2 linked regions of the Saccharomyces cerevisiae S288C genome follow. Each later gene encodes a partner of the first gene's protein in a complex. Each region holds a gene or a part of one and is shown on either strand. Other genes may lie near its edges.

Region 1 (4,932 bases):
TCTAGTAAACTTGACGATGCTGCTCGCGCTAAGTTTGAGAACGAACTGGATTCGTTTTTCACGCTTTTCAGGAGATATTTGGTAGAGAAGTCTTCTAGAACCACCTTGGAATGGGACAAGATCAAGTCTCCCAACCCGGATGAAGTGGTTAAGTATGAAATTATTTCTCAGCAGCCCGAGAATGTCTCAAACCTTTCCAAATTGGCTGTTTTGAAGTTGAACGGTGGGCTGGGTACCTCCATGGGCTGCGTTGGCCCTAAATCTGTTATTGAAGTGAGAGAGGGAAACACCTTTTTGGATTTGTCTGTTCGTCAAATTGAATACTTGAACAGACAGTACGATAGCGACGTGCCATTGTTATTGATGAATTCTTTCAACACTGACAAGGATACGGAACACTTGATTAAGAAGTATTCCGCTAACAGAATCAGAATCAGATCTTTCAATCAATCCAGGTTCCCAAGAGTCTACAAGGATTCTTTATTGCCTGTCCCCACCGAATACGATTCTCCACTGGATGCTTGGTATCCACCAGGTCACGGTGATTTGTTTGAATCTTTACACGTATCTGGTGAACTGGATGCCTTAATTGCCCAAGGAAGAGAAATATTATTTGTTTCTAACGGTGACAACTTGGGTGCTACCGTCGACTTAAAAATTTTAAACCACATGATCGAGACTGGTGCCGAATATATAATGGAATTGACTGATAAGACCAGAGCCGATGTTAAAGGTGGTACTTTGATTTCTTACGATGGTCAAGTCCGTTTATTGGAAGTCGCCCAAGTTCCAAAAGAACACATTGACGAATTCAAAAATATCAGAAAGTTTACCAACTTCAACACGAATAACTTATGGATCAATCTGAAAGCAGTAAAGAGGTTGATCGAATCGAGCAATTTGGAGATGGAAATCATTCCAAACCAAAAAACTATAACAAGAGACGGTCATGAAATTAATGTCTTACAATTAGAAACCGCTTGTGGTGCTGCTATCAGGCATTTTGATGGTGCTCACGGTGTTGTCGTTCCAAGATCAAGATTCTTGCCTGTCAAGACCTGTTCCGATTTGTTGCTGGTTAAATCAGATCTATTCCGTCTGGAACACGGTTCTTTGAAGTTAGACCCATCCCGTTTTGGTCCAAACCCATTAATCAAGTTGGGCTCGCATTTCAAAAAGGTTTCTGGTTTTAACGCAAGAATCCCTCACATCCCAAAAATCGTCGAGCTAGATCATTTGACCATCACTGGTAACGTCTTTTTAGGTAAAGATGTCACTTTGAGGGGTACTGTCATCATCGTTTGCTCCGACGGTCATAAAATCGATATTCCAAACGGCTCCATATTGGAAAATGTTGTCGTTACTGGTAATTTGCAAATCTTGGAACATTGAAGGTGCGGCTTGCAATCCCTTTTTTACTTTCAATTCTCCGTTAGGTTATTTATTCTACTACACGCAGTTTTTTTTTTTCAATGGGTTATATATCTCTAATATATACACATTTATATGTTTAGACTTATACAGAAGCAAAAAAAAATGCAAAAGAAGCTTAGTGTTCATAATTCTTCACTCACGTCATGTTATATATTTGTTAAGCGTAGCTTCAGTATATATAGAGATTTTCCTTTGGCGGGGTAAGGGTCTGTGAACTTTAGGGAAATAGAATAAACGTAAGTTAAAGGTGACAAGCTCGGATCGTCATCTTTCAATTATCACCCCAAAAGATATTGTAAAAAAGCAAGTTCAATCTCGTTTGTTACATTTGTCCCGTATTTCTACTAATTCAGGCAAAAAAGGAAAGTCCTACAGCAAAAGAGGCAAAAGTACAGTATGGAAATCGATGGCAACACTCTGGTGTTCATAATAGTGATCCTTTTCCTATTTTTCTCCTCACCGGGTGGTGATGGTGTGTCTTCTCAATATGAGTTCAATCAACTCCAGAGACTCAAGCAGCAGTTCCGAACAGAGCACAATACGTTCGTCAATATGACATATACAGATAGTTTTCGAAATATTACCGGGCTTAAACTCAGCTACCAAGACATGCTGAATAATCCTCTCCAAAATGCCACTTACCCACTACCAGGAAAAGATTATGATCGATGGTTTCCCAATCAAAACTACATGGTTTTGCCCAACGATGTCATAGAGGCCATAAATACTGAAGTCTGGAATACTTCGAATGATGACGCTTCCAACCTTTTCCCTCCCAATATTACAAGCACCCTGTTAGGTAAAATCGACCTTGTATCAAATAACAAGTACGAAAAGATAAGGATGCCTGTACCCAGATTCTATGAGCCGGCAACTGATTTTTCAGAGGATATTCCTCCTGAAGGTGAGACGTACTGGTCTGAGTGGCCTTCGTATGGCGAACTTCATAATGTGAGTTTTCAGCATGGCGAAATAGCTATTCAAATTTCTCATATGAGCAATCTTCAGGACAATAATAATTACTTAAGGAGAAATTTCATAAATAAGAAAAATGACCGTTGGAAGTTGTTAAATCTTCAGATTGATTTCTCAGATAAGGCTGAAAAGGAAAAGCATTCCATATACTCGAAGGCTGTATATGACATTCAACGTGGTAGAATTCTTTCTATTTCTCAGAGTTCTAAATTTCATTCATTGTTCGCCCTTCCTCATTACATGTCCTTCCAGAATGATTATAATGAGAAAATATTTAATGATGTCAAGGAACTCGTTGATGAATTTTGGAATTTCACGGATTACACAGATGTCATGACCATGAAAGACGTACAGGATGCTTATAATAATGCCAACTTTAAATGTGAGTATTTGATTTTTCTTCAGTTGGAACCATGGAATCAGTACACAAGAGATCAGATCAAGTTAATAGATGATGAATTGAATTGGCCCCTGGGGCGTCCGGCAAATCTGTCTAGTTTACCGCCCATAAATGTTGTCTCTGGATTACTGTATTCTCCAGACTGTGGCGTACGATTAGGGCTTCATAACGTAAAGGGTACACGGTACGAATTAAAAATAATGTCGATCAGAAAACATCTATTGTTCGGTATTGCATTATTTGCAGCCCAGATATACTTATTGCTTACTCAGATGCATCATACAAATACCCCCTCCATGGTCAACAAAATCTCATTCTATTGTTTCTCAATGATAAACTTAGTCGATGGTTCCTTGGCCACTTTGTACTTTGTCGCAGCTAGTGTCGTTCCCGAATTGTACTTACCCCTAGTTATAAGTGCTTTTTCGTGCTTTATCTTGGCATCTATTTTTGAAATACGCTACTTAATTTCAATTTACGCTTCACAGGTTAACGAACAGAATGTTGGGATTATCAACCTCCTGCGTGGTAACACTGGCACATATGATGAGAATAGGCCAAGACCCGCATTCATTCCCGATGAAGGGTCTATCGGTGGCTCGTTATATGGTAGGTTTTTCTTTATGCTAATCATTTTCACGTTTTTAATATTGAGTTCAACTTCATGGCCCCGTCAGCTAAGGATGGTATTTGAGTATATCCTAATCTTCATATTAAACTCATATTGGATCCCTCAAATTTTCCGTAACGCCGTTAAAGGTATTCCTTCAAGAAGAGAAAGAGCAAGATCTAGCATTGGAGGAAATAGAAGTCAAAACAAAATGCCATTATTGTGGAGTTTTGTAATTGGTACAACAATAATTAGAAGCTTGCCCGTTGTGTATGTTTTCACTTACTCCTCTAATGTGTTCAGGCACCATAAAGATGTTCATTTCGTCGTATTTTTATCATTGTGGCTACTGTTTCAAATTAGTATACTGTATTCTCAAGATGTATTGGGATCGCGCTGGTTCTTGCCTAAGCACACAATACCTGATGGATATTCGTATTTCAAGCCCCTTTCAAACGAGTATATATCGGAGCATGGTGGTGGAACTGCTGAACATACCGTTGATTGCGCGATATGTATGTCTGATGTTCCAATTTACATAGAGGAAATTCCAGAAACTCATAAGGTGGATCAGCACTCTTACATGGTAACGCCTTGTAATCACGTATTTCATACTTCGTGTCTAGAAAACTGGATGAATTATAAGTTACAATGTCCTGTGTGTAGGTCACCATTACCTCCGTTGTAGATAGCATCTCTTGATCCTAAGAACTATATACTGTATTTGTATTCAAGATCCAAGATACCGTGACATTTCCTATTTGTCAACCATTGCAATAAGAAATTTTACATGAATAGTGCATTAACTTTTTATTACCACTAAAGTAGTTTTGCTTAAATATACAATAGGCAAACTAGACTTAGGATAATTCACAAGGGTTTTTAGTGTTACCCTTTTTCCGTATGACACATTTTTCGAGGAATTAATTATTGGGAAAATATTGCCGATCAAGATCCATTGAGGTGAATCTAAATCGCTCCAACTCCAAGTTGGGGAATCTTAAGACCGTCACTGCCTTCCAATTACACTGCTTTTGTTTCTTTGACAATAAGAACGCAAAAGTAAATTTCTTTTTTTTAACAAATTATGACACATCCTGTAGCAGTGAAGGCATGTCTATTTGACATGGATGGTCTTCTCATCAACACAGAGGATATTTATACTGAAACTTTAAATGAAACTCTCGCAGAATTTGGTAAGGGACCTTTAACTTGGGATGTGAAGATTAAATTGCAAGGGCTTCCGGGACCGGAAGCAGGAAAAAGGGTGATCGAACACTACAAATTACCAATAACTTTAGATGAGTACGACGAAAGAAATGTTGCATTGCAATCTCTTAAATGGGGTACTTGCGAATTTCTTCCCGGTGCATTGAATTTGTTGAAATACTTAAAGTTAAAGAACATTCCTATTGCATTATGTACGTCTTCGAACAAGACTAAATTTCGCGGCAAAACAAGTCATTTAGAGGAAGGTTTTGATCTTTTCGATACCATTGTCACTGGTGATGAT
Region 2 (3,643 bases), on another chromosome or scaffold:
GAGATGGAGGTCCCTTGACCTGGGAAGGTTAGTAGCTTCATACAAACGCTTATATATGTGTACCACGATCAGAAAAGTGCAAAACGCTTTGTTACTACCCTCAGTGTACGTTATTGAATAGTTCTAATATGCAGCAAGTTACTGGTAAGCTTTGTTTTACCCTTGAGTTCGATACTCAGTTTACTTCCTCCATCGGAGGTTGAAATGCGCCTTGTCATACGGCCAAAAAATGCCATGTAAGAAGATGACACTTTCTGCATTTTGAGTATATTTAAGGGCCTATAATTTTCTTCCAACTTTCTCAAGACAAGCATATTGTGTACTTTCGGTTTAGCAAGCCTTTTTACTTCGTTAACACAAGGCGATGCTAACGTGTGTTTACTGTTTTAGAAGATCGGCATTTATCAAATGTAAGGACAATGAGACATGGTTGACCAATTAGTTCTTCTCAGATAGGAGTTCTAGTTCTTCTGCATACTACTTAGTCCTCTTCTGTCGTTGACATTCAATTGCTTGTGCATTTCTAACATGAAATAGTGGTACTACGAATGCTATTATTCTATGCCAGGCAAATTCCTCTGGAACTTTTTTTTTTTCAGTTTTTTCGTGGTGAGCTTTTTTTGCCTGTCTATCTCGAAAGATCTTGTTGTTGATGACTCAGTGCAGTCGCGATCACTTTCGACTCGACATGCATTTGCAAGTAATTCTGTTATAAAACGTTCTCTTCGTTTTTTCAGTCTGAAGCTCTTCTGCACTTTTTTACTGGGTTAGATTCTATATAGTCAAGTAATTCGAGGTAGCATCAAAGTAATATGTCATCAGACTCAAACGCAAAGCCATTGCCTTTTATATATCAGTTCATATCAGGTGCCGTCGCCGGTATTTCTGAGTTAACTGTTATGTATCCGCTTGATGTTGTTAAGACAAGATTTCAACTGGAGGTGACGACGCCTACTGCCGCTGCAGTAGGAAAGCAAGTAGAGAGATATAATGGTGTCATCGATTGTTTGAAAAAAATTGTAAAGAAGGAAGGGTTTAGCAGACTTTACAGAGGTATTAGTTCACCAATGTTGATGGAAGCACCAAAGAGAGCCACCAAATTTGCATGTAACGATCAATATCAAAAAATCTTCAAAAACCTATTCAACACGAATGAAACTACGCAGAAGATCTCCATTGCGGCTGGTGCATCTGCTGGTATGACAGAAGCTGCAGTTATTGTTCCATTTGAATTGATCAAAATCAGGATGCAAGACGTCAAGTCCAGCTATCTTGGACCAATGGACTGTTTGAAAAAAACAATCAAAAACGAAGGTATTATGGGGCTATACAAGGGTATCGAATCTACCATGTGGAGAAACGCTCTTTGGAATGGTGGCTACTTCGGTGTTATCTACCAAGTGAGAAATTCCATGCCCGTAGCAAAGACAAAGGGACAAAAGACCAGAAATGACCTTATTGCAGGTGCGATCGGTGGTACGGTCGGGACCATGCTTAACACTCCCTTTGACGTGGTGAAATCCAGAATCCAAAGTGTGGACGCGGTCAGCAGTGCTGTTAAAAAATACAACTGGTGCCTACCTTCGCTATTGGTCATATACCGTGAAGAAGGCTTCAGAGCATTGTACAAAGGTTTCGTCCCCAAAGTATGTAGACTAGCACCCGGTGGTTCATTAATGTTGGTGGTTTTTACCGGTATGATGAACTTTTTCAGGGATCTGAAGTACGGACACTGATATTTATTGTATATAGAATACCTCTTTCCTCTTCAATCTTAACTACGTTATTTCTACGTCAAAATAAGAATAGCATGTCTGTCCTACCAGCCCTTGCATAGGCGTCTTAAAATGTTGAGAAGCCTAAACTTCCCTCAATTTCCTACACAAAAGGGCATTAAGATGAACAAAATGATGATCTCTCCGATGGACTTGACGCTTATACCAAAAGAGACTCGATATAAACAACACGGTTTTATAGTCCTGGATTATTAATCCGCACGATTAATTTTGTATGGTTTTTTTTTAAAATTTGAAATAAAAAGAGTAAATATACAAGAAGTAAAACCGAGGTAGTACTCTTTAGAAATTCTTCATCTCTTTTTATAGTTGCACTGGGAGGAAAAAAAAATATATATATACTATCTCCATTACCCGGAGTTGAATATAAAGAACGGCGTATTAGGGTCCCTTGAGTTATTAAAGAAGACGCTTGTGATATAAACCAAGCAAAGAGAGAGGTGAAAGGCAGCATACATTGATAAAATTATGTCCGCAGAACCATTATTACCCACACATAACGGATCGCAGGGAGGGGAAGTGAGGTCCCCAGATCAGAAGTTCATTGTGATACGGTTTTCCGACGTATCAGTAAGGGATCTGCAGTTGAACATATCAAATGTACCATTTTCGAATATAAATACCCACTGGCTACGTCGGATGTGTAGAGAATTGAGGCCCCAACAAACACAAAAAAGAAGACTGAAGTTTATAAGGAACGGGAGTATTCTGAATACGCATTCCAAGATTGCTGAGGAACTGACGCATTACTTCGATACTGCTAATAACTCTAACGTCGCAACAGGCACCAGCGTGGCACCAGAGCAGAACAACTACTATATTCATTGTATAATTGGTACAGAGGAGCTGACACAAGCAGAGTTAGCCAACGAAGATCTAAAGGACGATGCAACTCCGTCCAATGACTCCATGACCACGCAGGCCATCGGGTTTGATAGGCTACGATCCGTGGGATTTACTGAGCAAGAAATCGAACTGCTGAGGCAACAGTTTCGGGCCACGTATGGAGATTTGGAGGAGGAGGAGGAGAGACTTGCTCAAAATGGCAACAGAGATGATGAGGGCCATGACATTAGACAGTTGGAGGAACAGTGGATGGAAAGCGGGAGTGGGACCGCTCAGGGGAATGGGGCCGGAGGCGGCAATGAAGACAGGTTTAACTCTGTGCCGATCGCTAACATAAAGCACAACAAAGACTTGCTTTTAGGTATATGTGTCGGATTCTTCTTCGGCGTCTTTGGTATACTATTAATGAAGTTTGATGGATTGTTCAACAGACGGCAAAAAATGGCGATTTTTGCCGGTGTGATTGTTAATGTTATGTTTTGTCTTGTGAGAGGTTTTTAGTAGTGAGGCGATTAGATGTCGTTTTCATGTACAATAATGATATTATTTTTTTTTTTTCAATTTTTAGTATTTTACATGGCATTCTTACACTTTTATAAAGTATTATTTATATTACTAGTAGCAGTAAGTGATCGCCCTTTTTTTTAGCACTCGGTCCAATGCTGCTAACGACGAATCAAAAGATAAGCGTTCTCTTGCTTCAAGTTATTCAAATTTCTATAGTTACCTTCTAATCTCATTAAGAGGCCACCGAATGAGTAGTAAACGGCAATTAGATCCTTGCTTACTTCCTCAAACTTGTAAGCGGTACCATACATGACGTAATCATAATCATCTGCAAGGGATCTGTCACCAGCCTGTGGAGGTCTCCAGCTTCTTGTCGCAGAAGAGTCGTTAGCTGGGGTGTCTTCGAGGTTTAAAGAGGATGCAATAGTCACTGTCAAAGAATCTTGTGCGGCGACGGGAAACAATTCAACATTTATATCCAAGGTTAGTTTGCA

What was found.
Region 2: TUL1 (region 1) and DSC3 share a complex: the UniProt entries of both Saccharomyces cerevisiae proteins name them as parts of the DSC E3 ligase complex.

What each region holds. Positions count from the first base shown.
Region 1 is NC_001143.9:369,999-374,930, forward strand, and holds TUL1 (ubiquitin-protein ligase TUL1), read left to right. Parts: upstream 1-1,830; coding exon 1,831-4,107; downstream 4,108-4,932. Other genes in the region: UGP1 (UTP glucose-1-phosphate uridylyltransferase), read left to right, coding at 1-1,392; YKL033W-A (haloacid dehalogenase superfamily protein), read left to right, coding at 4,507-4,932. UniProt on the Saccharomyces cerevisiae protein: Catalytic component of the DSC E3 ubiquitin ligase complexes that tag proteins present in Golgi, endosome and vacuole membranes and function in protein homeostasis under non-stress conditions and support a role in protein quality control.
Region 2 is NC_001147.6:757,518-761,160, forward strand, and holds DSC3 (Dsc3p), read left to right. Parts: upstream 1-2,264; coding exon 2,265-3,143; downstream 3,144-3,643. Other genes in the region: MCT1 ([acyl-carrier-protein] S-malonyltransferase), read right to left, coding at 1-41; ODC2 (mitochondrial 2-oxodicarboxylate carrier), read left to right, coding at 813-1,736; DNA-directed RNA polymerase core subunit RPB8, read right to left, coding at 3,308-3,643. UniProt on the Saccharomyces cerevisiae protein: Component of the DSC E3 ubiquitin ligase complexes that tag proteins present in Golgi, endosome and vacuole membranes and function in protein homeostasis under non-stress conditions and support a role in protein quality control.